Drosophila melanogaster: one gene and its partners. The gene in region 2 interacts genetically with the main gene of each other region. Each region holds a gene or a part of one and is shown on either strand. Other genes may lie near its edges. The genes, in order: soti, klhl10 and ScsbetaA.

The links.
Region 1: of klhl10 (region 2) and soti, changing one suppresses a phenotype caused by changing the other (phenotypic suppression), as found in Drosophila melanogaster (one study listed by BioGRID).
Region 3: of klhl10 (region 2) and ScsbetaA, changing one enhances a phenotype caused by changing the other (phenotypic enhancement), as found in Drosophila melanogaster (one study listed by BioGRID).

The regions. Positions count from the first base shown.
Region 1 is NT_033777.3:14,377,713-14,386,535, reverse strand, and holds soti (scotti), read left to right. Parts: upstream 1-4,836; 5' UTR 4,837-5,006; coding exon 5,007-5,450; 3' UTR 5,451-5,873; downstream 5,874-8,823. UniProt on the Drosophila melanogaster protein: Post-meiotically transcribed gene that has a role in late spermiogenesis; required for actin cone progression during spermatid individualization.
Region 2 is NW_007931083.1:49,517-59,514, reverse strand, and holds the start of klhl10 (kelch like family member 10), read right to left. Parts: upstream 6,074-9,998; 5' UTR 5,973-6,073; intron 2,814-5,972; exon of another isoform or gene 2,688-2,813; intron 2,625-2,687; 5' UTR 2,571-2,624; coding exon 2,248-2,570; intron 2,196-2,247; coding exon 1,911-2,195; intron 1,857-1,910; coding exon 1,592-1,856; intron 1-1,591.
Region 3 is NT_033777.3:8,934,438-8,946,320, reverse strand, and holds ScsbetaA (Succinyl-coenzyme A synthetase beta subunit, ADP-forming), read right to left. Parts: upstream 7,598-11,883; 5' UTR 7,570-7,597; intron 7,564-7,569; exon of another isoform or gene 7,508-7,563; 5' UTR 7,502-7,507; coding exon 7,433-7,501; intron 6,653-7,432; coding exon 6,549-6,652; intron 5,840-6,548; coding exon 5,687-5,839; intron 5,623-5,686; coding exon 5,460-5,622; intron 5,400-5,459; coding exon 5,132-5,399; intron 5,008-5,131; coding exon 5,005-5,007; intron 4,914-5,004; coding exon 4,489-4,913; intron 4,421-4,488; coding exon 4,251-4,420; coding exon of another isoform or gene 4,247-4,250; exon of another isoform or gene 3,764-4,246; intron 3,644-3,763; coding exon 3,487-3,643; 3' UTR 3,294-3,486; downstream 1-3,293. Other genes in the region: CG11964 (uncharacterized protein), read left to right, coding at 1,336-1,365, 1,423-2,856, 2,921-3,116, 3,178-3,263; osk (oskar), read right to left, coding at 8,954-9,056, 9,115-9,879, 9,975-10,392, 10,641-11,175.

The DNA of each region.
Region 1 (8,823 bases), on a different chromosome or scaffold from region 2:
ACGACGTCGTCGATTCGGATTCAGATTCGGATGTCGATGCTGAAGAGATGCAGGCGGTTCGAAAATGCAGCACAGTACAAAGGGCAAACGGGGGTGGGAGGTGGAAGCGCCGACACTGAAAGAAAATTCGAAACTAAACGCAATGCAAGTTATTCGATCCTGAGTCCTTACCTTTATCGCTAAGAATTTAATTGGAGACATTCTTAAAAAGTTCAGGGCATACTTTGAATACAAATACCATTTGATCATCCTCGAAGAAAAGTTTGATACATCTTTCAGATATCTTTGATATCAAGTTACAAGTTTGTTTGCATTTTCAGCAAGCTTTTAAATATATATATTTTTTTTAAATTTCAGACGATCCCACTTACCTTGGTTTATGCATTTTGGTCGCGTGTGGCAATTTCTCCTTGCCTTTTAGGCAGCCGTCAACGACGACGAACCCTGTGTTATGGATGTGGATGCAGGGTGGCTGCCCCGACTTCCCCCGACTTTCCCCGAACTGCAGACAATTAAAATAGCTTTGTGGTGTGCGTGCGGCAATTGGCTGGGCGCCCACACACATACAGTCGCAGCGGTATCTTGTATCTTTCGGATAATCTCTGCGTGTTGATTTATGCAACAGTTTCGAGTGTTTTGATCGATCATTACCATTCGAGCCGCCTTCAACCCTTTGGCGTGGTGCCCCTTTGGAAATAACACAACTGTATTAAAAACATTTAATTAGCTTTTATTGACCATTAAGATTCCAATCGTGGCTGGAACAGTAGCAGCCACAGCATGAAATACACCCACCATCGCTTTCTACACCACTTATTTATACACTTTTAGCTTTATTACTTTTCCACAAAAACATTTTATGACGGCCAGCAGTAGCGGCAGCATCGAAATATTTATGATATTTACAACAAAAGAGCGAAATGTTGGGCGAACGAGAAATTCTTGTCCAAAATCGAAATAAAAACATACAAATTAATTAAAGACAATAAAGTGAATTAAATGTGGCCAGGGTCGGACCCCTTTTAATGGGGCAACAACTCCACTGCCACCCTACGCACCTCCATTCATTCCAAGTTTCAAGTTGTTTATGACCAAGACTCGGGTGCTACTCCTCTTCTGAGTGATCATCATCGCCATCATAGTTGGCTGGCATGCACTTCGCTGCCAATTTAATGGCGTTTTTACAACTTGAAAGATTCGTGCCCGACACGCCGTTTTGAGCGATGATGGTTTTCTTTTTCGGGGCACCCAGTTCCTCGCTAAACGCACACCAAATGCAGCGCAGCGAATGTCATTAGAAACATAAAAATGATATTAATTGCATGCGAGAGTGCAGTCCAGGGAATGGAAAACGAGTTTGGGATTGGGATTCGGTTTGGGATTGAGATTGCTCACGGTCTTGCGGATGACGATGGGAATGTGGATGGTTTGTGGCAATGGCACATGGCATGCAATAGAAACGTCAGCGCCATGATGATGGAATACTCCGAGGTGGCGGCATGGAGATTGTCCGGGTGTTTGAGCAGCCACAACGATCTCTTTATCCACTTACAGTCAGTGAAAAATGGAATGAGTGTGTTCCGGGAATCAACACATCAAAACGTGATTATTCTTTTATTTTTAACGGGGGGAACAATTACAGAATTAATAAGCTAGCAATGTAATTAGCAAATTGAATATGAATAATCTTGCTTTAATCTTTTAACAGATCAAGAAAATATTAATAATATTAACTATCTAGCTTTTATACTTCCCGAAATCTCCGTCTTTATTCTGCCTGTTTACTTTACTGGTAATAAACTGACAAAAATGTTGGTAGTTTCAGAAATTTGTTAAATTAAGACTACTTATTTAATATTAAGCAAAGCAAACATATTCCTTTACCTCATATCGTTTTTTTTTTCCAGTGATGCAGTTTGCACTTGGCACATGGAAGGAAATCCATGACTGTGCCCAAAAGCGCCAGAGCGATCCACTTACGTCTGAGCATTTTGTGTGGTGCTCTTTGATGGAGACGGCTGCCACAGCGATCGCATAGCGCTGATAAATAATAAAAATTAAAAATAAATTAACACCTAGTAAAGATGCAGTGGACTGAGTGGACTGGGAAATCGGGGACTGCGGCATGAGGACTGAGGACTGAGGACTGGGGACTGGTTTCCCTGCCACTTTGTCCCTGCTCCGTCATTACTTGGGACCTGGTTTCGAATGTTGCCCGTCCGCAGACAGCTTAAAAATAGCGCAAAAGTAATTAAAAACGAAAATATAAAAGAGCAGGAGACAAATGCACGCACAGCCACATCCACATCCTCATCCTCATCCGCCGACTGTCCCCACTTGGAAAAATGGATATAAAAATAAAAATAAAAATTATGCTCGACTGTATTGAATTTAACAAGCGCAACGTCGATGCAGGCGGAGATCAAAGAGGACTGGGGCTCCATGGGATAATTTACCCGAAAGTGTTGTCCTGCCTGGCCGATAATGATGATGCTAATGCAGTTGACATTTTATGTGGCCATAGAATGCCGGGCATGGCCGATAATTAAATGCAATAATAATTCAATTTAATTAGCTGGCAGCTGGTTGCTGAAGCTGAAGCTGGAGCCGACTGCACGTCACCCGAATGCCCCAAGGGTAGTGTTAAAATATTGATGGATTGATTAGCATAATATTTGTTTTATGCTTTCACATTGTTTGGGGATTTGGTTTACGGGCGTCAGCATCGGCTAATTAAAACACCTTAAAACAGCTCATTAGTTAACCAACATCTGTCAAGGGTGTTGATTATGTACTTAGAAGTTGTCAGCAAATGCAAACTGACGGATTAATGTGAATGTTAACTGAGGCGCAGGATGAAGTTGACAGATGGGAAATGTTAATTGGGTTCAATGATTTTGCATTAGAGATTGTTTAATTGGAAGCAAATATCACTAATATACAACCACTTTATATATACACTTGTACAAATTATATGATAATAATATGCTAAGACTCTAATTTTAAAACTAAATTAGGATATTAAAACGGGGACTTGCTAATTTTCTAACCATTAACATGACACCATTTCCATCGAGTGAGGTCATAGACAAACACTCGTTTATTGGCTGACAAATCCGATTTAGTGTGAGCTTTAAATAAGCCGCACAAACAGGCCATACATATGGCGATATATCCTTGCCCAGGAGCTTTCATGGACACAATGTTCGTGTTGGAGATATTTCATTGAATCAATTATCGCTGGACATGGCATAATAATTACTGTCTGCTGCACACAGAAGCGCACACTTGCAGACACAATCCACCCACCACCACCCACTTCAATCCAGTCCAGCCCAACCCAGCTCAACCACCCAAAAACAGCCAACCACCCACGCACCCACACACTGGCAAGGTCGCCCGAAGCGACGAAGCAGCAGGGACATGTTCATTTCTTCATTGATAACTGGAAGGGAAGCTCATCCTGGCCTCGTTACTTAACCAACTGTAACAGTCCAACTCGTCTCTCAGAGAGGCAAGAGACTCGAAGAAAGAGATGGGGACAGGTGAGCAGAGAAGGAAGGCACGAACTGACGCAAACAGAAGGCGAAGGATGCAAGTTGCACTTAGAGAAATTGTATTACTATACACAGTAAGTTTCATTAAATGATATGAGTAAAATCAACTTAAGCACTAACTATATTATTTGTAATATTTCAAATGAATATAAAAACATCTTTGTTTATTGTTTATAATTTGTAATTTATTTTACTTGAACTTTTATTAATGCCTAACAAAAGATTTACCAACAAAAATTAAGATAAAACAAAATACTCTGCCCCGATTTGTCTCTGTGCAGCAGTAAAACAAAAATTTGCCCGTATTAAAGCAAAATAATGAAGTGAAAATGGCAACAATGTGATTACACACAGTCATAGACCCAAAGCCATAATAAATTGTTCCACAAGCGAGAGGTCAGATCTCAAGAGAGAGAGAGAGAGAGAAAGTGAGAGAGAGAGAGAGGAAAGAACGCAGTGAGAGCGAGGGGGAGCATCTGCGCATGCGCTAATCGAAATGTTGCTGATACATCCTTGGCAACATGATGGTAATGGCTAACTTGTTGGATGCAGCTGCTCCACTCCACTTCATTCCACTCCGCTTACACTTCCACTTCATAATTTCCTCCGGCGGGAAAAACTTTTCGCTCTCACAGCGATTTGTCTGGCAAACAATTTCCGAAATGCGATTGCTTAAACGCAATACGAAAAGTTATTAATTGAGCTGGCCGTAATGAGCTCATTTACAGATTGTAATGTGCTCCCATTACAGGCACACAAACAGCTGCCGATTTCGATTTCTCGATTCTGAATCCGGAGCACTTGATGCCAGGCATTCGAGTCGAGTTAAATGGCTTGTAATGACGACGTCGATGGGGCGTCGGTGGGGGGTTGTGAGTTCGTAAGGGTTGGGGTGGGTAAATAGGGCTAAATGTGTCCAATCACTTGGGGGCTGGCTATTGGGGTCTGAACCCGATTTGGAACAAGGCGAGCAAATGTCAGACAGCGATTTCCCATTTGTCACTGGCCGTTCGATATGGATATGACTACATCTAATGGATACACACAATTCTATCTAATCGCCCCCAGTTTAGGAGGCTGGAAAACAGGCGAAAAACTTTCGACCAAATGGGACTTGGTATGTGGCAAGTTTTCTTTGCTGATGCTCTTGGCTTCTAGACTCTCTAAATAATATAGAAATGACAAAACAAAAAACATCTTCCTCCTATCATTTATTAGCAAATATTCCTTTGATTTTTATGTCAGGTTTCCATTTCTCATAATCACAATGCCATGATATTAAATTCAGTTCTAAATCAAACTCAGACACTACAACTACAAAACGACACAACTGATACTACAGAGAAAAAAACATCGTATTGAATAGCAGAAGCACAACCTACACTGCCGTATTTATTGTTCAATTTTTGTTGGTTGTTTTTTTTTTTTTGTATGTGCCTGTAAGTTGGAATGGACGTACTACACGGACACGATCTGTACGATGAGCAGCTAATCGATCGAGTCGGCGACGCGGTGAATGAAGATGCTGGCGATGACTTGGACACATTGGAGGATGGACAGCAGCAGCAGCGCCTGGGAGTCAATCGTCAGATGGACATACTCCTGGACGCTCCTCAAGAGCCACCGTTGGGCGTTTTTCCGGCGCAAGGAGGGCCAAATGGACCACCACGTCGGCGGAAGAAACGAAGTTTCTACACTATGACCAAACCCACTCCGCCATGCCAAAGTCAGGAGCCGGAGATGTGCCTCCTAATGGCCAGTGTCACGAGGGCAATGCGTCACGTTCGCGAGGATCAGCGAGGCGAGTACTTTGCAAATTACCTCGTCGAGAATATGACCAGTCAGAACTACCCGAATGGTATGGGTCTGCCACAGCATTGGGGTCAGTTCTGATTCGCCATAGTTCTCCCATAGATTGTAAATTAGAAGAACCTCTCTTGGACCTCGGAAGATCGAGCAAGCTCATTGGGATCCCATACTACACATACATGTACACGTCCATATATCCAACCAGCCGATATGCATCCCATTAGTTATCTTTCCTCTAAAAACTTGCTCAAAACAAAAATACGTTACACCATAGTTATCTACCGCTCCACCAAGCTCAAAAAAGGAAAAAAAGACGTTACTTTACTGACTTACAGTTGAAAAATGTTTGCGGTTCAATCTTGTTCAATAAACAACACGATTTAGCAAACTTATATTTTCATATTTGGTTTTCAACTTATTGTTTTCCAAATTTATTCTACAATTGTTAACAAACCACATAATATATAAGTACCACATATATGTTAATAAAAACCGAATGATTTATCTAAATTAAATTGTCTATACAGTGACTATCACACTTTATTCAATATTTTCAAATCGAACTTCACTTACAGGTATCAGATTAATAACGCATTTATTGTTCAAATAGAGACTACTCCCTCTTGCAGCACCTACATAACGTACATACAAATCAAAGTTTTTGATTTTGATTTGCTTGCCGGCGGAGGCCGATTGGCCTGAAGGCTACCGAAAAATTCATGAAATTGACAATTAATAAACTTCAAATTGGAAGCCCCACATACGCCATGGATCCCATCACTCCGCCTCTGCCCTCTCATCTCTCCCTCGGCATTCTTGTGGCAAAAACAAAAGGATTTATATAGGCTCCCCTCCCAACAACAACAACACACATATGTGGACTACGGCCACTGACAATGGCCACAATGAACAGATGAACAGTGGAGAACCAGAGACAAAGGCCGAATGCGGACAATTGCCCAAAGTGTAGCAAATAAATACAAAATGCAAAAGATAATTGCAATCAAAGCCACAAAATGTAGCCAAAAGGCTTATAAATTGTGGGCGGCAGGCGGCTGAAATGCCGCAGGGATGAGGAAGGGGTGGTGGTGGGGGGGAATATACCGAAGGTAAACGCATTTAATTTCCTAAATGTGCTTCGCATGCCACAGCACAAAGATACACACTTGCATTCATATACAAATAGGCTGCAGTCAGTTGCAGTTGCAGTAGCAGTTGCAATTGCTGTTGCAATGTTGCAGTTGCAATTGCATTGGCCACATCACCAACGCCCCCTCACCCCCTATCCGCCCCAACCACAACAAGAACAACAGCAACCAGAGCTGCAGCAGCAGCAGCAAAAAGAAGAAGCAGTTGAAGCGACGGCAATTTACGGCCATTATTGCAACAGACAGCCAGCTTTATTATGTGCCACGCCCGCAACATAAGCACTGAAAACAATATGCGTTACAATTCCTATCAATTAGTGCTATTTATTTATTTAGTGCGATTTAGAATAAGTCTTCAAATATAAATAAATATATATATTTTTAAATATTAATCTACCATAAGGTTTATTTTAACAATGGTCGTCTTACTTTTAGTATTAGGTTTGTTTGTTGTTCTACAAAAATGTTGCAAAATGTCCATGATCATAATATCCCTAATTTATTCAATTTAAAATGAAGGTATTAGTTGGAGTTTAATTTGCATTAGCCTTTATTCTAATAACAATTAACTATGAACATGTTTAAATCAAGGGCTAAATTTGCTGTGATATTGCTAGTTTGGCGCTCCTAAAAGCCGCTTTAAATGAATTAAATAATCTCCAATGATAACCGCATAATTTAATTGTCCCAGTGCAAGGACTCCATTGCACCATTGCACCCCTCCCTCGCTGGATGAGGGGGGGGGGGTTGTAGGTCGGTGTGGGGCAAGTCCTTCTGCCATAACTTTTTGCGGCTGCTTTTAGGCTGAGCTTTTGCATTTGCTTTTTGGTCGCTCTGTGATTGCGTTGCAAATGGCCACATGCAACAATGTTTCTGCTGTTGTTGTTGTTGTTGTTGTTGTTTTTGTTGTTGTTGTTGGTGGTGGTGGTGCCCCCGCAATGGCGCGCCTTCTAATTGAATTGCATTGAATTGAATTGATTTTCGGTTAGCTTTGTCCGCCTAATTGTTGCTTTTACATGGGCGAGATGTCCATTTGAAAGCAATACACATAGAAATCAAATTAAACAAAAGTCGCGCCACAAAAGGAGTTATCATAAATGGTTTGGGGGGCAACGTTTAAAGCGTAATTATGACATGTTGCAAGGGTTGATTCATTTAGCAAATGCTGCAACAATCTGACAACCGAGTGGCATGGCGTTTTGCGTTCGAATTCCATTGTTTGACAGACGATTCGAAACTCTTTCCATCACATTCTGTCCATTCTGCCCATTCTGCACATCCATGCTAAATGGACCCGAGTTATTGGGGTTGTTGCCTCGGTTTCCTGACTTTCCTGGATATTCCACCCGCCGGCAGTTGAACGCACGAAATGTGATTGATGCCCATCCGCTATCGCCGAGCTCCATTGTTATGCCACGTCTTTGATCTATGGCCACCCTCCATCACCTGGGCATTGTTGAGTAATTGATTTTGCCTCACGTGACTCTCCATTCCAACCGCCCAAGCACCTAACAACCCAGCTTCACCCCCCCAAATTTGGCCAAGTTAATTTGCCTTCATCTACTTGCTGGCATGAATTCAATGTCGCGGCAACTTCTTGCAGTTTCTCCTTAATTATACACACACTTAAGTTCGCATTAATTATTGTCATTGAGTTCAGTTCCCGGGAAATATCCCACCAAAAAAAAAAAAAAAACACACACAAATGGTCGGGATTTCGCCCGCTCAGCAAAGTTACATACAAACAATTACAGCAACGCGGCGGGGCTAAAAAACTTTAACAATTATAGAACGCATGCTTTAAATACTCTATTTAATGAATTATGTTATGTATTGTAAGAGCTATAAAATAATATGAATTACATATTTAAGCAATGTTATTTAACACTCTATTATTATTCAGCTTTAAAATATCCATATATCCATATTTATTCTCAGTTAAATAGAAAATTTCTCGATTTCCGTGTGTGTTTACGAGGTGGTAATTACTTCAGATGTTATTGTTCTCAAGTAATGCCCATGTAGTGCCATCTAGAGCATTTAAACATCACTATTGAGTTAAGCGCTATACATACTTTGTTTTTATTCTGTTGTATTTATGGAGAAACGTGTGCAGAAAGTTTTCCACTTACAAACAATTCACAAGTAAAATACCTTGACTTTTGCTGCCGCTTCTGCTTCTGCGTCTGCTTTTGCTGCCCATGGAAAATGTTGGGGGTTTTCTACGGAGGAAACTGATGTCTGTGACTGCCATTACCAAGGCTCTTATGCCACTCTGATGCCCCTGTTTAACCTCCCTCTACCCGTGA
Region 2 (9,998 bases):
TCATAATATTGTAACAGGGTCATGTTGTTTCCCTGTCTTAAAGTGCACATGTCTTGTTCAATGACATGCATTTTACGCTTGTCACTATAAGTGAAATCGAGCCAATTTATAATGGATTTATTCCGTCTTGTGTGACTATGTGGCCTAGAAATTCTATCTCTTTCCTTAGGAATTCTGATTTTGAAGTTGTAGTTTAAAGTTTTCTGCTCTAAGTTTTTCGAATACCATTTTTATGTCCAATAGGTTTTTGTAGGGAAAGAGAGAAAATTATATTATCGTCAAGATAAACTAAGCAAATGGTGCCGTTAAGATCGCGGACAACGCTGTCCATAACCCGTTGAAAGGTAGCCGGTGCGTTTTGTAAGCCGAAGTCATTCGTATGAATTTGTGAGACCCCCTTCGAGTGTAAAGTCTGTTTTGGCGATATCTTCTTGTTTCATCTCGATTTGATAAAAAACCGATAGTTAGGTTGAGCGTTGAAAAATATTTTGCCTTGCATATGCTAATATGTCATTTATGTTTGGGATGGGGTATCTGTCCGAAATGGTTTTGTCGTTGAGTTTCCGGTAGTCTATTACAAGTCGCTATTTCCTATTTCCTGTTCCGTCCAGTTTTTTTGGGACGCTCCAAGGGGATGGCTAGATCTAATTATTTGTTGGTCTAACATGAATTCGATTTGTTTTTTGACTTCTGTTTTATGGACAAAAGGATATCTGTAGGATTTTGCGTGGAGAGGTGTGTTGTCTATGGTGGGGATGGAGTGTGTGATTTTGTTGGTGACGTACGCGCTGTTATAAAAAATAATTAATCTTTTGAATAATCTTTTAACTTACAGCCTTGTGGTCTGGCACAGCAAGTAATAAGAATATGTTTTACGACGCTTATTCGGAGTTGACGAGCTGCCGCTCTTTATTCTGATAAATGCAAATTCAAACTAAAACTTAAAATGATTCCTTTAGCTAACAAAGACTAGCAGCGGCCACGCAAATATGCCCGGCTGCGCACGGGTATCCGGCCCAATGCTGGGACAGCACTTTTATATTATGTTTCATGCACTGTGCCAACTGTTCTAGGACGTTGGCTTGTGTTAACTTGCACACGTATACTCATGCATTGTAAATTCGACAAAATATGCTTTTCACCTTATATGTAAAAAATTCTTGTTTCGCTTGCGGCGTGTAAAAAATGAATAAGACACTGATTGTTGAATGCTTGTGTCCGCACTTCGTGCCTCAATATATGACCAAAGCAAAGACACTAGAATAATTCAAAGCAAGCTAAGCTCAGCATTCTATATCACAAATAAAAAAATTAGCGATATATAAATAATTGACGACTGAAAAATCGAGCAATATATAATAAAAAACAATTGTTAGAAAAATAACTTAATTGGGGAACATGGAAATGTTTTAATGTTAAACATTCAAGTCGACTCGAAGGTCTTATATGTAAATATAGGACCCCATTACAATTGTAATGGTCTCCCCGTGGTGTTGCTGGTTCTCATTTTAAGTTTGACAAGAGACCATAGAGATAAAAGGTAATGCAATAAATAAGTCCTGAATTTCAAATAAAAAATGTGTGTACCCACCTTTGGAGTCATTAGGCCCAGTCGTACCCCAGTCATTAGATGGGCAACATGGCGCTTGCGGCTTTCTGGATTACGGTCGATCCATTTAACACACAATTTCCATACGTGATCCTCTTCGCGGGTATTTAACTCATCATCGCTAATAATACTGTAAAAGTCTTCAGCTGACATATCTAGTATGTCAATATTACGATATGCAACTTCAGTAAAGTACCTTAGAGTGTAGTTCCTGGCCTTCAGGTGAAGGTCCTCCAAAAATCGGAACCTACGTAAAACAATTAAAAGGGTTTCCTTACGACAATTAGCGAATTAAACCCACCGTGCGAATCCCATAATACTGACACAGTTTTCGGGGGTGAGTATGCGACCGAGGTAGTCTTTACATTTCTTAACTAAACCTACCATGCCAACGTAGTCAGCGCAGATAAGTAACTCATGAACATTGCTCTCGGAGATGTTTGTTTGACGCAGGTAAGCGTACTGTATTACACAGTTCATTATACATGAACTCACGCCGGGGATATGAATAAAATTATTGTTTTTTTTTGCATCTGACCCATCTACACATCCGGGAGTGTCAGCGTTAAACCCTGTGAATTGAGCTCTGGTGGGAATACGTGTTATCTTCACAATTCAGGGTGAAGTTATTAACTCACCGAAAGTATGAGCTACATGAACACATTATTGCACGATGTACGTTGAACACATCCTCCCCCACAGAAATCTGGGCGTCGCAGAGAAGATTTTGCTCGCGGAGCTCATTTAGCGTGTTCAGGGCCTCGTCACTCACAATGGGAGCCAAAGATTTTGTGTGCGCATTCAAAATGGTTTTACGGCCAATACCGAGCGTCTTGTCCTCGGGGCTATTGCCGTCTGCGTTCAGCTGCAACGAATCCATTGAGACGGGGGGCAGAGCAAGAGCAAAAGGCAGATCTTCATTGATATCAAGGAGGTTGCTTTCGTTTTGATTACGACTCATTAGAAGAACGAGGTGAAGTCCAACCCCTTTACTGTGTTCGATGCTGAACCGTGTCTATGGGGTGGAAATTAGGCACATACGTAAATAAAATAGGTGGGATCTGTAAATGGTTGTTACCTCGCGTTCTAATAATTTTTGTTTTTACTGTGAAAAGAAGTACCTTCGTATTTAACTGCAGGAACAGGAATATTAGTCAATGTAGGAATAGCAACAATAAATTTATGGGGGAAAACAAAATGACTGCTAAGCCTAAACAAAAATGATTATTATCATAAATAGGGTTAAATACGACTTTCAGTTTTATAAATGTAACATGGAGTAAGGCTGAAGGCTGGCAACAACCCGGTTGGCAGCGCTGTTGAGCAGCAACATGATTGTCGGAAATCGAAGTTATCGACAATCAGTCATCGAAGGAACGATCGCAAGGCAGCAGTGGTGTGGAAGTCAGCGTGGCAGTCAGTCGAGTTCTCAGCAGCAGTCGTTCGGTCACAAACTAAGAATACTTTATATAATTACCGCATTTAGAATTAAACTAATAATTAAATTAATAATAAACAATAATAATAAACAATCTTACATGGGGGCTCGTCCAGTCCTAAATCGGTTATATGAAGGTGCAGTTGTTTAAAGAAAAAAGACATTGTTGTGTGCGTGGGTATAGTCTTTAAAAGTTGTAAAGTTGTGGCTATATCTATTGCATTTAAAGTTGGAAAAATCAGTTGTACAGATTTTGTTTGAACACAAGTCGGTAAAAGTCGGGAAAGCTGCTAGAGAGAACTGATAAAGTTGAAATTGTCGTGTGCGTGGATTTAGTCTTTAAAGTTGTAAAGTTATGGCTACGTCTACTGCATTGAAAGTTGAAAAAATCGATTGAACTCATACAGACTCAAGTCGTTTTGCTGTTGTGGAATTTAAAACAATTAAATTGCAAAGGTGGTGAAATTCGTTTCTAACGAAAATCAAAATTTGTCTTTTAACCGGTGGCGCCGTCTGCAAAATCGACTACCGTCGCGCCGTTAGAACATTGTCGTTGTTTGCTGGTGTTAGTGCCTTGTCGCGGAATGTTCACACGTACACCACCTACAAATAAAAAACTTAACACCGACCAAATACAAGCAATTCTAGAGAACGAAAGCGAGGACGAAAGCAGAAAAGAAAAAATGAACGAAGAAGATCAAAAGTTGGCGCCTGTAGGAGAAGCAGAGGCAAAGAAGCAGAATAAAGACGCTAGTGCTAAAGTCGAAGAGAAATTTGAACAAATGATGAATACTCTAACCCAGAGCATGTTGGCAAAATCTAAACAAGAGGGGCAAGTAATTATCGCTGCAGAAAAATTTGAAAAAGTTGTAAGTGACTGTGATGGCAAATCAATTCCTATTAAAAAATGGTTTGAAATTTTTGAGAAAAATGCCGAGGCATATGAACTTTCGGAGAAACAAAAATATGTTCAAGCCAGAAGTAAGATGATTGGATCAGCAGAACTTTTCTTAGAATCTGAATGTGTCAGTGGATACACTGAACTCAAAGAGTTACTAATTGAAGAATTTTCAGGCAGCTATAATAGCGCCGTTATTCACAAAAAGTTGCAAGACAGGAAGAAGAAGAGGGAGGAAACTCTACACGACTATTTGTTACAAATGAAGAAAATAGCAGCCTTAGGTGAAGTTGAAACAGTTGCTTTGATAACTCATATCGTAAACGGCCTCGACATTAAAAAGGAGTATAAGGGTGCTATGCTCCGTTGTAAAACTCTTAAGGAATTAAAGCAAGAATTCGAAATCTACGAGAGTCTGAATATTGTTGACAAGCCGAATATTCAACCAAAACCAAAGCAAATTACACAAGGTGTAAAAGCAGATCACTGCTTCAACTGTGGTTCGAGGGAACACAAACGAAAGGATTGTACACTTCCTACCAAATGTTTCAGCTGTAATCAAGAGGGCCATATCTCAAGCAAGTGTCCGGAAAAAGTAAACAGCATGCGCATTCACGTTGATAGTGCACGAACAAAGCCAGTAATCATAAATGGGATTATCATCAACTGTCTGGTGGACACAGGATCAGATGTGACCATAATTAAAGAAGCTATATTCAAGAAGATGAAAGATGTTGATTTAAACCGCACTGCAACAGTATTGCGAGGTTTGGGAAATGCCTCAACACAGCCGATTGGATGCTTCAGAGCATTAATCAAGACCGACCAGGTGGAAGCAAGCCACAACGTTTTAGTCGTCCACGATTCTAAATTCAGTTGCGATGGAATAGTGGGACACGATTTTATCAGCAAGTTTCGTCTTATCTGTAGTGCAGAAGGCTATACTTTTCTTGACCTGGAAGCAGATAAAAAACAAGCGGTTGAGTATTCCCAAATGTTTAATATTTGTGAAGAATCTTCTTTTACAGTTGCACCACAATACCGAGAAGACGTTGAACGCATGATAGAGAGAACATACGAAACACCACCCAAGCAGATAAAGCAATGTCCAGTCGAACTCAAAATTATTCCTGATGGCGTGATTAAACCCTTTCGCCATGGACACACCCGACTATCTGAAGAAGAAGCTATAGCTGTAAAGAAGCAGGTAGAGGAATGGGTCGAGCAGTCAATCGTCCGTAAATCTACATCAAATGTTGCCAGTCGCATAGTCGTTGTCAAGAAAAAGGATGGTACCCTACGCGTTTGCGTGGACTATAGAAAATTGAACACCATGGTTCTGATGGATTGTTTTCCGGTACCCATAATGGAGGAGGTGCTTGAAAAACTGCAGAGTGCCAAATGGTTTACAACCATGGACTTACAGAACGGATTTTTTCATGTGGCCGTAGAAGAAGCCAGCAAGCCGTACACAGCATTTGTTACCCGAGAAGGCTTATTCGAGTTTAACAAAGCGCCCTTTGGTTTTAAGAATTCCCCAGCAGCGTTTATACGGTTCGTTCAATTTATTTTTCAAGAACTAATCAATTCCAATATAATGCAGCTATATATGGATGACATAATTGTATATGCCGCTACCCCAGAAGAATGCATGGAAAAGACGGAAATGGTACTTAAGAGAGCTGCAGAATTTGGTCTAAAAATAAAATGGAAGAAGTGCAACTTTATGCAGAGGCGAATTCATTTCCTGGGACATATTATCGAAGGTGGACAAATATGCCCTGGAAAAGAGAAAACATCAGCAGTGAATTCCTTTGGAACACCTCAGAATGTAAAAGCCGTTCAAGGATTTCTGGGTCTCACAGGATTCTTCAGAAAATTCATACCTGGATACGCCCAAATTGCGAGACCACTGACGGACCTATTAAAAAAAGATGCCATTTTCAACATTGGACCAGTAGAGCAGCAGTCGGTGAATAAGCTGAAAGAGATTCTGGTAAACGAACCAGTATTGAGGATCTACTCACGAGAAGCAGAAACCGAACTTCATACAGATGCCTCTAAGGACGGGTTAGGAGCCGTTTTATTGCAGAAGTTCGAAGGCAGTTTTCACCCAGTCTGCTTTTGGAGCAGAAAAACTACAAAAGCCGAATCAAATCGTCATAGTTACTACCTTGAAGTAAAAGCCGCATACTTAGCTCTGAAAAAGTTCAGACACTATTTATTGGGAGTCCCTTTCAAGCTCGTCACGGACTGTGTCGCATTTAAACAGACAACAAAAAAAGCAGATGTCCCAAGAGAAGTTGGCCCATGGATTCTCTATATGCAGGATTTTAATTTTCAACCCGAACATCGTGCAGGAGAAAGAATGAGACACGTTGATTTTTTAAGCCGCCATCCCCAAGCATGCATGATGATAACATCCGAGTTGACAGCACGTATTAAAAAGTCGCAGCAGAACGATGATTCAATTAGAGCAATCCCGGAAATTCTAAAAGATCGTCTATTCCAACCCTACAAGCTAAAAGGTGGCCTGTTGTATAGTATGGTCAATGGCAATGAACTACTGGTTGTCCCTGCACTAATGGAGAGGGAGGTGATTCAAAGCGCACATGAAGTTGGCCATTTGTCGTTGCAAAAGACGATGCATAGCATACAGCAGCAATTTTTTATTCCTCATTTGGAATACAAGGTAAAAAAGCTAATTTCTAACTGTATAAAATGTATCATCCACAGCAAAAAGTTGGGAAAGCAGGAGGGATATCTAAATTGCATAGATAAAGGAGACGCACCGTTGCACACACTACACATCGATCATTTGGGGCCAATGGATTCATCGGCCAAACAGTATAAATACATTCTGGCAACAGTCGATGCGTTTTCAAAGTTTGTCTGGTTATTCCCAACCAAATCAACCGGACAGGAAGAAGTGGTCAAGAGGCTGACCGACTGGTCAAACATTTTTGGTTTCCCTAAGCGAATTGTTAGCGACAAAGGAACGGCCTTTACGAGTGGTGCGTTCGAACAATTTATGAGCAGCCATAACGTGGAACACGTCTGCACAACTACTGGAGTGGCCAGAGGCAACGGCCAGATAGAACGAGTAAATCGTTTAATTTTGGCAATAATATCAAAGCTGTCTTCAGACGAACCGTCGAAGTGGTACAAATATGTGCCTGAGGTACAAAAGGCGATCAACTGTCACGTGCATTCATCACTGAAGCTGTCACCATTTGAGGTCATGTTTGGCACCAAGATGTACACCCGAGTTGAGGATCGGTTACTGGAACTGCTCCAAGAAGAAGTGGTCTGTCAATTCAACGAGGACCGCTATGAGATGAGACAGCTGGTAAAACGCAACATCGAGCAGGCGCAGAAGGACTACAAGCGCAATTACGACAAAAAGCGCCGAGCTGAATACAAATACAAAGCAGGTGATCTGGTTGCAATTAAAAGGACCCAATTTGTAGCTGGCCGCAAGATGGCAAGCGGGTATTTAGGTCCATACGAAGTCACAGGGGTCAAAGACAATGGCAGATATGACGTTAAAAAAGCAGCAAACGTCGAAGGACCCAATGTCACATCCACCAGCTGTGACAACATGAAGTTGTGGAAGTACATAGCCGAAAATGCAGACCTATTGTCATCCGGGTCGGATGATGATGATCAGGAGGGCCGAATGTAACATGGAGTAAGGCTGAAGGCTGGCAACAACCCGGTTGGCAGCGCTGTTGAGCAGCAACATGATTGTCGGAAATCGAAGTTATCGACAATCAGTCATCGAAGGAACGATCGCAAGGCAGCAGTGGTGTGGAAGTCAGCGTGGCAGTCAGTCGAGTTCTCAGCAGCAGTCGTTCGGTCACAAACTAAGAATACTTTATATAATTACCGCATTTAGAATTAAACTAATAATTAAATTAATAATAAACAATAATAATAAACAATCTTACATAAATCTTTGTAATGCTGTTATTTTCATTTTTATACTTTTACCAAAATTAGTTACATTTGTATATATGTATATACATATATATTTTAAGCGCGGATTTATAAATTTGTTAAGAAGAAAATTGTGGTGTCAAATAAACATTAAACATAAAAGGTTAATTACATTTACTTATTTGGTTAGTATCCATGTAATCATAAGCCTAATGTGGTAACAAAAATTTACCATAACACAAAGACTCCGAGAAGCATACCTCAACGGTAGGAGCGGACTATTTTTATGCACTAGTAAGATACAAACGAATTTTTGGCTAAACTTAGCATTATGCAACACCACTCGGTTCCACAAAAAAAAAACAAATATAAAAATATTGATATGAAAAAGGAATGTTAATTTTTTTTCCCGCCGACTCACGATATTAGTATCGGGCATTTTTGGTATTTATTTAAATAAACTTACAATATACTAAGAATCGATTTTGACAATAATTATATCCAATAATTATATCCGTTTCTCGTAGAGTAAAAGGGTGTACTAGCATGTAAGTATGTAACAGACAGTATGTATAAAGTATATATATTCTTGATCAGGATTAATAGCCGAGTTGATATAGCCATGTCCGTCTGTCCCTATGAACGTCGAGAACTTGGGAATTATAAAAGTGTGGGAGTCGAGCCAAAATGGCAACCTTATATGTGCTATCGCACTCATTTAGTAACGAACCATTATAGCCAAATTCAAATCCTGGCAAAATTGAATATTGCCCTATAAAATACCACAAAATTCCCGTGTAGGATTGTAGCAAGCTACGGTCACACTTGATTTGCATACTTCCGTTCTCTTTTCGGAAAGTCGTGATCGAGGGCAGTTTAATTTGATGCAAAGTCCCTGATTATAAATCCACGAGAATCGTGTAGACCGGATAAGAGTTTTTCAAGGCAAATACTGCCAAGTGATAGTTTAAATCGTGATCTAACTTTAACTAGCCTGCTGCCGGTCCCACATTTGGAGGTAGAAGTCTTAGTGGCCGCGTCGCCAAAGCGACTTGCATTGTTTTTCGCCCTCAACTTTTGACCACGTGTGAAATTTACTGTGGCTTCATCGATCGCAGAAAGATTCACAACTGCTTGGATCAGGAGCACCCACCGCGTGCAGCGGAAAGCTGGGCTTGTCCTTTTCTGCTGCCAACCAAGTGCAGATCGCAGGCCACAATCCCCCCCCCCCACGAGTTGGCGTTCTTTTTCTACCCTTCATCGCCGCAAGCAAGGAGCAGATCGCCGTGCACCCATTTTGTGCATCTTTTTTTTGTGTGCATCTTTTCTTTGTTTTCATCGCACACATCGAATCAGCGGCACTTCTTCTTCATCCGTGCGCATTCCGAGAATATTTCTGCACAACGCGAGCCCCAGGCTGCTGAAGCAGCCACAACACGAATGATCGTGTCCAGTCTTGAGTATCTTTAGAATCGTTTTTTATATATGTGTTAATTTTGCCTAAAATATTTACTTATAAACCTCTACGATTCTAATTTAGCTTAACTTGTGGGAGATCTGACAAATATATATAATTAAATTCTTGCAATATTTATAAGTGAAAAAAATATAATTTTTATTTCACTGAATGATTACAATCTTTTTATTTGAGGAGAACACCGACATTTTACAATTAGGTCTCAAACTGAACTCTGATAATTATTCTGATTTGATTGACGTTCAAGCCTCGGTATCGAGCTTTTCTAATATGGACTTTAGACTTTAGGATTCTGATCGTGAAGAGAAAAAGCTTTGCGTTTCTCTTGGATTCAAGTGCATTTGCTCTTGGATACAAGTGCTCTTAGATTCTTATAATTTGTTTATTGAAATCGATACTTTTGTTTTTCGGGATTGCGGCTCCGAGCTTTGAACGTGGGATTGTGACGATGGGCTGAGGCTTAAGCAATGTATTGTTTAAATTAGGGGACGGATGTTTAGTCTACCAGTGGGTGACTTATCTAGAATTGGGGGTTTTTCCATTCTCGAGGATCATATAACAATCTTATTCTTATCTGGTATCTGTTGGGTACATCCGGAGTAGTGTATGTTGTATTGGGGTGTATATGTTGTAAGTG
Region 3 (11,883 bases), on a different chromosome or scaffold from region 2:
AGAGAGCAAGACCAAGGCAACAACATTGACGATTTAACCTCAAACTTCAAAGTGTCACTGTCATGGCCCTTTTTACTACTCCGCCGCAGTCGAGCCGCAGCAACAAAAACAGCAAACAAGCCATCCGTCGTCTTCGTGGTAGTCGCCATAACCTGTTGGCAATTCAGTTTATGACTTTTTTGCCCGGCACAGTGTGGCCAAAATCCATAAACTCATTATTTATTTTGAATTTAATCTAAGCACTTTTACAATTATAAATATAGTGAAAATAAGGTAATTTCATTTTTAAAATATTTTCTATTATTCTTCGTAATTGAGCTATAGCTTATATGATCACTTTAAAATTCCCATATATTTTCTATTTTTAAAGCTCTTTTACAGCGAAGCTTTCACTAAGGTTTTGCCCCACTGTTCGGGCTCACGTATTGCCACTAAAAGTGGGTCAGCATGAAACAAGCCAGAAAAAAGTAAAAAAGCGGCAGGAGCCACAGCAACAATACTAATACCAATACCACTACCAATGGCAACTGCACAGGCAGCAACAACAACGCCAAATCACGCTGACGAACTGACTTGAAAAAAAAAGACTGGCTCGAAGAAAGCACACACACTAGCGCACACTCACTCACACACACATACACTCATAGACGCGAACAACTTGTTGAATTGCCAGAGCTTAAAGCAGTTGTAAATTTATTTTTGGGGCTTGGCCTTTAGGAATTTATGTAAACTCGTCGTCAAAGTCGCAGGCGCTGGGCTAAAACAGCCAAAGGCCCCTTTTTGGGAGGCTGGGTGGGCGAAAGAAATGTTTAATGGGTTCAAGTTGCTAGTTTTAAATTTCATATTAAAAGTATTAATTATTTAAAGAATACAGAAATTATAAACCATATTCTAGGTTTTTAAACTTATTAAAGCTCTTTTAGGATTGTTAGCTTTGCTTTATAAAATGTTGTAAAATTGCCTAGTAATTATTATTATTATATATTTATTTAAACAAAATCTTATAATTCAAGTAACATTTGAAGAGCACAAATATCGAAAAGCAATATATAATAGCGAATTAAAATTTGAATTAATTTTTGATTTATATAAAATGTAGGTAATAACAAATTTAAATCACAAATTGAAATCAGAATTATGAATTAATTTGAAGTTAAATATGATTCAAACAAAATAATGATGTCACCTTCTAAGGGTTAAAGGGCTTGAGTCTCCGCTAAGTCATGCTTATCATGGTTCTGAACCTATCTTCATTCACGTGCGGTTCACGTTCGATAGTATCGCTGAAGAATCGCCTAACGTTCCAGCACTAATTGTTTTTTAAGGCCCGCAAAAATGGACATCGGCGAACTGCTGGCGTTTAAGGTAAATATATGGATAATACCAATGATATTCATGCACCTGGACCATTCCAAACTGTAGCCGGAACAGACGCCAAAGCGTCCGCACGACGACGAGGACGATGAATTCGATTTGGCGAGCTCGCACGGAAAACGGGGCGGTGTCGATGAGAAAACCAAACGCATGCGGCGCATCGCCGATGCCAAGGAGTCCGCACACTATGTCAAGCAAAGTGGAGGAGCCACCGGTGGCAGTGGCACTTCCGCCTTTGAATTCGATCCGGAACTGACAGAGGAGGAACGCCTGAACATCCTGAAGTACGTGGAGAACGAGGAGGCCGATGGCGATGTTCTGGATGAGCAGAGCCTGAAGAAACTGATACTGGTGTTCGAGAAGCGTAACTTGAAGAACCAGGAGATGCGCATCAAGTTTGCCGACAGTCCCGAGAAGTTCATGGACTCCGAGGTGGAGCTGCACACGGTAATCCAGGAGCTGAAGGGCGTGGCCACGGTGCCCGATCTGTATCCAATTCTCGTGGATCTGCACGGCCTGCACAGTTTGCTCGAACTGCTGGCACATCAGAACACAGACATAGCCGTGGCCGTGGTAGATCTGCTGCAAGAAGTGACCGATGTTGATATCCTGGGCGAAAGTCAAGAGGGTGCCGAATCCTTGATTGAAGCACTGAGAAAAGAGCAAATCTGTGCTCTGCTTGTCCAGAATCTGGAGCGACTGAACGAACAGGTTAAGGAGGAAGCCGATGGCGTGCATAATACGCTGGCCATAGTGGAAAATCTTACCGAAATCGATTCGGAATTCGTGAAGGAAGCCGCTGAACAGGGACTGCTCGCCTGGCTGCTGAAACGGCTGCGCGGCAAGTCGCCCTTCGATCCCAACAAACTCTACTGCAGCGAGATACTTTCCATACTTATACAAACGGAGAACGAGAACCGATTACTGCTGGGTTCTCTGGATGGCGTGGATGTGCTGCTCCAGCAGCTGGCTGTCTACAAGAGACACGATCCCGCTAGCAACGAGGAGCAGGAGTACATGCAGAACCTCTTCAATTGCCTTTGTTCCGCTCTGATGGCCCGCGAGAATCGCGATCGTTTTCTCAGCGGCGAGGGTCTGCAGCTGATGAACCTAATGCTGCGCGAGAAGAAGATGTCTAGAAATGGATCGCTCAAGGTGTTGGATCATGCCATGGCTGGCCAGGATGGCAGAGACAACTGCAACAAGTTTGTCGAAATTCTCGGCTTGCGCACCATCTTCCCACTCTTTATGAAAACCCCCAAGCGCAACAAGCAGCGCCTAATCTCCGCCGATGAGCATGAGGAGCATGTGACCTCCGTAATCGCATCAATGTTGCGAAACTGCAAGGGCACACACCGCCAGCGAATGTTGGCCAAGTTCACGGAGAATGATCACGAGAAGGTGGATCGCCTGCTGGAGCTGCACCTCAAGTATCTGGCCAAGGTGGAAGCCATAGACAAGGAGATCGATCAGCAGGCTAAGGTACGAAATGAAGTTTTATGTGTAACCATAAACTAATCAATTGAAAACCAATATCATGGCATAGGATCCCACCATTGATGAGGACGAGGAGGCGGAGAATAACTATATAAAACGACTGACCGGCGGGCTGTTCACGCTGCAGCGCATCGACTACATCCTGCTGGAGGTCAGTGCCACTGGCGACACCGTCAAGCAGCGTGTACTGCAGATCCTTAACTTGCGCGGCGCTTCCATGAAGACCATTCGCAGCATAATGAGGGGTAAACCACAAATGGAATGCCCAGTAAAACTTAGATGTTCAAATTTCAAATTCATTCACAGAATACGCTGGCAACCTGGGCGATGGCGACACCGACTGGCGGGAACAGGAGCAGAACCACATATTATCTCTAGTCGATCGTTTCTAAGGCTCAACACACAATAAACAAAACATAAATATTATGAAAATCTTTAAAAATGTGGCGGGTCAGAAGTTTACATCTGAAATTTGAGATTAAAATTTTGAACAATGAAACTTTTGTGGCAAATTTGGATTTTGAATTTAAACAATGGCTTCCTTCTTTTTGATGGTGTAAGTCTCAAACACATCCGGCTCGATCCTGCATTGTTTATTACAAAATTTGTATCCCTTTACTTTTTACCTTTCTTTTCGCAAATGTCTTTCTTTTCTTCCTTTTTCTTTTCCTCTTTTTTTGTGCAATCAGATTTCTTGTCATCTTTCTTCTCCGACTTCTTGCCACCTTTACTGTCGGGCTGTTTTTGATCTTTCTTGCAATCGCCCTTGCCCCTAAGGTGCAGTGATTAAAGTTAGTAAGACTCTATTTAAAAATGAACTAAAACGCACTGTTTTAAGCAGTCTTTGAATAACGCAAAAGCCAGGTTCGGTGTATGATTGTTTGGTGTTTTAATTTAAAGCAAACTAAATAGGATAATACACAAGATGATGGATCTGCTTTAAAAGCAGGGTCACATTTCAATAAATAAAATTTAAATGAACTTTTGCAAAAATCACAATTAAAACGTATTTTCATTTCCATTTTCTATTATTCACGTGCAATTAATGTTGTTGACTATTTAAGATACAATATAGAAATTGTTTAGGTGCAAAGAGAACACTCAACTTGCTCGATTATTCGAATTATCTATGACATATCCTTAGGACTTTAAACAGCTTTAAACTTAACATTTTTGCAAAATTAATTCATCAATTGTTCGACCGATCGTTACGAATACATAATGCTCTAACTACGAACCGATGGCATAGTTTCATTGAGTAGTTTACGTGTGGCTAGAGTAAATGTTTGGTTTTGGTTCTACTTTTTTGTCGACTTTCATTTTGTGTCTGCGTGTGCTTATGAGTGTTGACTTAGCCGGTAACTGATGGAGCTATCTACTTTTGGGCATCGGGAATCTCGAAGTTCACGTCCATCTTCATTTCGCGGGCCAGTTTGACGATTTGCGCCAAGTGCACGGCGAGATCGGCAGCCTTATCTAGATCATCGCGGGCCAGAATCTTCAGTCCAGATGTACGAATCAGTTCGCGGGCCTCCTTGACTTTGGTTCCCTGCAATGCAAACCAGTTTTGTTTAGCATATCTCAGCAAGTCAGATAAATGCATCCATGAAAACTCACCTGAAGACGCACAACCACGGGCATGTTCAGATTCAGATCCTTGGTGGCGGAGATGATACCCTCGGCAATGACATCACAACGCATAATACCACCGAAGATGTTGACCAGAATGCAAAGCACCTTCGGATCGGAAGTGATGATCTTGAAGGCGGCCTTGACCGCCTCGGCAGTGGCACCACCACCGACATCCAGGAAATTGGCCGGTTCACCGCCATACAACTTAATGATATCCATGGTGGCCATGGCCAGACCGGCGCCGTTCACCATGCAGCCGATAGTGCCATCCAGGGCAATGTAGTTCAGATTGTATTTGGCAGCCTCGACTTCCTTGGGATCCTCCTGGGTCCAATCGCGCAGCGCAAACAGCTCCTTCTGACGAAACTCGGCGTTGTCATCAAATCGCAGCTTAGCATCCAATGCGAAGACTACAGGTAATCATTGAAAGTTGTTACAAATCATTAGGTTTAAACATAGGTTAATGAATGGAAAGGGTTATTATTGGTGAAATATACTTACAGCCTGGACAGAAAACATCAAATCCAGTACAATGACAATCACAAATGAGTTAGTTCGTTAGGATGAGACAGACATTAGAATTAGACCACAACACATGGCTTAAGAGAACATATATAACTAAACTTACAGCCGGACATGGCATCCTCGGCATAGGGGTTGATCTCAACCAAGAGGGCATCCTTCTTGACGAACAGGTCATACAGATTCAACAGCATCTGGACATGTGTGTCCTCGCCATCGCCGCCCAGACCAACCTTCTTGACGATCTTTTCGGCCTGTTCACTGGTCAAGCCAGTGCCTATATCGATGGGTTCGTACAAAATGGCATCTGGACTGCTGGCAGCCACCTCCTCAATATCAACACCACCCTCCTTGGAGGCGATCAGCACGGGACCCTGGAAATTGAATCGTCTTTTATAGCTTCACAGGGTTGAATGCATGGTTATTAGACATACGTTAAAGGCACGCTCCATCATCACGGCGAAGTAGAACTCACGGCGGGGGAACTTCCTTTCGGCAACCATCACCTTTTTGCAGATGCGACCGGCTGCTCCGGTTTGCTTGGTGACCAGAAGCTGATCGATCATTTTGCTTGAAAGTTCTTCAGCGGTCTGGGGACTGCGGAGTAAGATTTGTTTTTTATGTTTTACCACACAGATATTAGACATATATCACAACTTACTCGTAGACCACTCGCACACCTCCCTTCAGGCCATTCTTAAAGGTTCCTTTGCCTCGTCCTCCGGCCAAAACCTGAGCCTTCAGCACCAGGTTATCGGTCTTCAGCTTGGTGGCGATATCGTTGGCCTCCTTGCCGTTCTTGGCAACAGCGAAACTGCAAAAAAATGAATCACTCAGTACGCGAAATAATTTTGGGGGTGCGCTCTTTACGATGTTCCTGATTGATTGTTGATAGGAACATTTCACGTAAATCGTGTTATCAGTAGACCACAAAGGTTGAAAGTTGAGACAAGGTTATTCGGTCATTCGAGAGATGACAAGCCCTCATTTAGAAAATAAATCAGTCGCCTGATTTTACCTGAATAATAGCAAAAGCAACTACTATCTTTTGATTCTAATAATCTCAATTTATCAAACGAAATGGAAATCAAAATATTCTAGCTTTGCAATTGCTTAAATTTAAATTACAGGTATTTTAAACATTAAAATATATTTTCTTTACCCAAAGTTTATGTATATTTAGTTAGTTTAATTATGATAGACGTCAACTAATGCCGCTTCCATCTTATCAAAGCCCACGTCACTGACCCTTGTCACTTTACGCCGATCAAAGTGTGTTATAGTATAAAACTTGTTATCACCCTTATCATCGGCGGCTGCGTTTCTCTGGTTTGTTTACCCCGTAGTCGGCTATACTCAATGCATATTATTAAGTTCAGGCAAAGTCCAAAACGCACATAAGCCAAAGGAAACAGACGACGCAACGACAACGCGGCACTTTCATTGAACTTTGGACTGCGACTTTGACGCAAATTGTTGGTTGTTTGCCCGCGATTTTGATAATTCCGATTGGGTTTACTCACCGAGGTGTTGGGATCTTGGCCTCATTGAGCAGACTGTAGGAAACGTGTTCCTGGACATTGAGGTTCCTCAGCTGCTGGACGGCGATGGGAGCCAGGCCAAGAATCTGAAAAGGTTGGAATTTTTGCCATGTTAATTTGCGAAAATTAGATGCTAATTAAAGATAACAAGAAAAATAATTAAAAATATATTTAAAAGGATGAAAATAAAAACGATTTCGAAACTTATTGTACTTATAAATGAAATCTTAATTCCAGTCACGAGGTCATTGTCAAGCAAAAATTAAACATAAAAAAACTGGTTCGGTGATTCATGTGAAAAAAACATAAACAAAAAGCGGCGAAAAGAAACGAAATCTGGGTTAAGAGCAAGTTCGTCCGGCTAACGGCGTTTCCCGGTGATAACCGAAACTAATTCACAGATTAAGAATTTAATTAGAGGGCCCGGCGACAACAGCAACAACAACCACAAACGATAAGCAACAGTTGTCAGCTGCTCATTGATAAAAAACAAACTAAATTAAGTGGGGGAATAAATGGGGCTTTCAAGGTCCCCACACACACACATGCGTACGAAAAGCGCACAGTTGCGTCACACTGACACAATAAAAAAGTCAGGTGTCTTTGGTGATCGTGACTCTCTTTAAATCTCACACTCTCCCCGTTTCTCTGGAGAAACAATTAGTTAACAAATGGCAAAGAACTTAAATTATCGCTTAAGTTTTTTTTTTGTACCGATAAACGATCAGCATTTCACATGTGTGAGTAAGTGAGAGACAGAGAAGGGGACAGCGTAGGTGTTCACTCTCTCTTTTCGCCTTATTATGTAAAGCGACGGATTTTCGCATTTTTTACACACAAATATGACTACTAATTGGCGAACTCACCTTTTTTATGGCCGCTGGCCTAACGGTTTCGATCAGGGGGCCGCCAGTTCGTGCCAAGAATGAAGCCATTTTGTTCTGAAATCGAATGAGAACGTACGTTTAACGATTTGAAAGCGAATTTTGACGTTACTGCTTACATTTCAAGATTTTTTTGCCGTCGCCTGCTGATGGAGGTGGTAGAGCTTCGATAGCAGGGACTTTTTTATGCTTTTACAATCGAAAATGCCGAAAAACTATCGTGAACTTAATGCAAGGTTGGAAACTGTAATATATTAGCAAAGATTCAAGCCAATTTGGCGGGAACTTTTAATATTGCATGCCATCTAAATTATTTTTCAACTACCGTTATTTTTATGATAATAATAAATTCGCAAATATAATAATATATTCACAAATGTCACAATATAATCTAGACCACTTTTAAATCGAAATTAGTTCGATTAGTTCCCAGTTACTTTGAACATAGCTTAGAGCAAACAAAATCATTGATTTCCCTTTTATTTTATTTTTTCATTTTTTTTTTGGATTTTACATTGCAGCTTGTTATAGGACAAAAAAAACGTGATCACCATCAATACATACAATTAACATACATTCAAGACAATAAATAAGTTTATAAATAGTAGATAGCTATCTAGAAGACTTTAAAGTAGAGCTGTAAATTACGCCAGAATTCTACACTGTGCTACAAACAAGCGCTTAGTGCGCACTTCCGGTTGGCGTGTCTGCAGCAGAGTGTAAGCATTTTATAAACTTTTTTGCAAACGGAAACAGAAAGACGAAAATCGCGCAAATGCTTCACTTGAATTTGCTTGAGCACATCAATAATAAATCAGCCGCGGCGTTGATTTTGTGCAAGCGAATTTTCCAAGTAAAGCAGTGCATTTTCATTACGGCCAAAATGCAGCATGGCTCATATGTATACGTACCACGCCCACTGCGCCCTTCTTTTTAAGGGCAAGTGGCAGGTTGTGTGATACAGGAGCATGCCGAATTTTGACCCACACAAAAGTATATAGAACAAAAAACAGTTTATAAGCATTGCAATGATTTGCATTTAAGTTCCATTTTGCAGTTTAATCTGATTTGGTAAAAACAGATTTCAAAGCAAAATGGTTTTGGGAAAAGCGGAAAAGTTTGAAGAGAAGTTTTCAGCTGCTTGCGCTTATTTTGCATTTGATTATTTTACACAGCTTTTGGGATAGCAGCAAAAAGTGTGCAGAAAATCAATGGCATTGGCAAAACAAATCACAGACAGCGAAAAATTGAGAAGTTTAAATCTAACATAGAACACAAAACACACAATAATATACAATAATGGACTAGGACAAGTGCACGAACATATAAATAAACAAAGACAGAGAACATACTACATATAAAACATATTAAAACTAAGCGAATTCCGTAAAAGCAGCGATCCATCAGCGTAAATCGTAAAATCATCAAAAAGTTCTTATTTTGTCGGTTCCGGTGCCAGCCCAGTCAAAATTTGCATATATGTATCTTGATTAAGAACCCAACTTAATACTCCAGACTCGTTTCAATAACTTGCAGTACGCGCTGCCGACCGATTTTGTTCCAGAACAGATAGGGTTCCTTGGAACCGGTGACTTGGCGTGGTGAGCTGAAAAGTGGCACAAATCGTAAACTCATATGATATGGTATATGGTATAAAGTCTTACGCCTGAAAGCAATCAAATCGCACCACGCCCCTTTCGTTGATTAGACAGGAGTGTATGTCGATGACCTTTAGGTGACAGCATTCGCTTCGGATAAACTTGTTGAATCGGTAGATTTTGTCACATAATACCTTATCGTGACAATAGTTGCCCAGCGGTGCAAGATTTGTTAGAATCGGCACCAATCGCATATTGTGCATCTCCTTGATCAGTAGCCGAAAATCGTGCTCGATCTGAACCAAAGGCTTGCCGCGCATAATGTCCACCGATCCGATATTGACGATGATCTGAGTACCCTCGGGTAATTGGACTCTTTTTAAACGATTTCGGGCGCCATTGATCGTCAGTCCGGATACACAAAGTCCTGACTGCAGGACGCGTTCGTGACGCCTAAATCGGCATTTTAGCTCCATTCGGGCGAGATATAGCATAAAATCATCGCCCATAAGCGGAAAGTCCAGCAGATAGGCATCGTAATCCGAGTTAATCGTCAGCAGAGAATCGTTGTAGGTTCCACTGGTTAAAATCGTTGGCGTGGGCGTCATTTCGTGGCGTCTCTTCATTATGTTCATGCCGTTAAATGGATGCACAAAGATGCCCAAATGGCGGTTTTCAGTCGGTTCGGTTTTCTGGCTTTGGGTTCTGCAGCTTGGCTGATGCCCAGGTGGAGCCAAATTGATTGGTTCCTCTGGGGCATCGGGGCTGTAGATGTTGATGGGTACTGGCATTTTTGGCGCATTTACGCTGGCTTGCTGGTAGAAATTGTTGCTAGGAGTTCAGTAGAAAGATTAGTACATTTTGTTAAGTAAAGGTTTATTTTTGCTATAGTTGCACTGTCTACAAAACACCTTTTCAGTACTCACAGATGCTTCCAATTATCCTGGTAGCACCAGTTCGACTCCGCTGCCTCATTGGCCATTTGATGCAGCGAAACCGGCCTGGTGGCGATATCCTTGGTCTTTTCATCCGTTATCTTGGGCACGGTCCTCGGGCTGGTGTTCAGCTGGGACAGAGCCCTCCGTTTGAAGGGATTCTTCCAGTAGCGTGGAGGTGCTCGTGGTATGTTCTCCAGGGACGGAGCTCCGCTGCTGTAGTCGCTGGTGCGCTCTTTCTGGTTGAGCACCATATCCAGGAGGTGACCGTTCTTCAGGCTCGCTTTCAGGTTGAAGATCCGCTTACCGGACTCGCTGCACTCAGCGGTCACATTGGGAATGGTCAGCAGGAAATCCGTCACGTTGTCGTGCAGTGGAAATGGATTGCCCGTCAGTTTTCGATATTCACCTGGCGAATTTCAATTATAGAATTATTTAAGGGTAATCTTACAAAAAAGAAACATAGAAAAAATATAAATTAAAATAAATATACTAAACTATAAAAGTTATATAATCCAAATAAAATTTAATAACCTACTAAAAATTTATACATTTTAGATTTCTAACTAAATATAGCCACTTAGAGAAAGTTCTGAAGTGTTTGATGAAGTCGAAACTTCTGGAAAGAAGAAAGCTTTCAAACATAAAGCTACTCACTCTTGATGCTCGATATCGTGATTCCATTCTGGGCGTGGCTCAGCAATATGGCGCGCACCTCACTATCTATATCGGGATATTCCTCGCGCACGGATATATAGTTGCTCTCGATGATGGTCATGTTGTTCTCGCTGGTGTTGCTGTTGCTGTTGTAGGTGATTTCCTTGGTGGAAATCTGAGTGGACGAGAAGAGTCTGGCTACGACTTGCAACTGCTGGCTGCTCTGCCGGCTGGTGAGTTCATGGGCCACCAATGGCACCTTCCACAACTCCGGCAATTCGGTTTTTCGCGCCGATTTGAAGATCTTCCGAAAGCGTTCGCCGCATGCGGAGAAATCGGACCTTACGAAGATCTGGTTGAGGCAGCTGGAGGAACTCTTGCGAAAGGAACCGGATGACTGGAGTTTATCGCGCAACTGCTGGAAACACGTGGTCACCCGCTTTTTCACGGACTTAAGATAATAGGTTTTGGCGGAAGTATTGGTGCTGGTATAACTGATCGGTTTGCTGGGGAATTCACTTGTGACTGCGGCCATCGCTTGGAGGAAAGTGATCCAATATTCTTGGATCCCTCGCCAACGCGGTCCACTTCTCCATTCATCTGCATTTTGGAGACTTACGGTGCTTTTCGTACTGGAAGGCGAAAGAGCAGGCGCAACAGAAGTAACGGTGAGCAGTTTGCAGAGATAATGTTTCCAGATCAACAGAATTTGTGAAAATACATTAGGGTGGTACAACCAAAAAATTTTGAAAAAATAAAAAACTGTTTTCAGAACCTAATATAGAACCTATATATATATATATATATTCATTTTCTTTAATTTTTTTATCAATTTGTTCCCATTCGCCCACCATTAGGTTAACATTCAAAGCAGTCTACGTAGCCAGTAAAAACAATTAAACGAAATTACCACCTGCATTGCCATTTGACGACCATTACACAAAGCAGTTTGCACTCCGTTCCAGCTGGACATTCGTTTTAATGGCCTTTCTCTTGGTCCAGATTAGAAAACAGCACGCCAGTGGGTCTGCAGAGCTGCTTGATAAGCAATTACGAAGTAGCATATACATAAATTCCAGAATAACTCAAATGGTGCCGACGAGCGTTACCACGTGCGGTGGTGCTCTGGTGGTCTGTCGGCTAATCGGCAAATGGAGCTGCTTGGCAGCAATTCCCCAGGAGATGATTATCCATCCATACAGCAAGTGCACCTGAAACTCCGAGAAGGGTAATGGAGGCACTT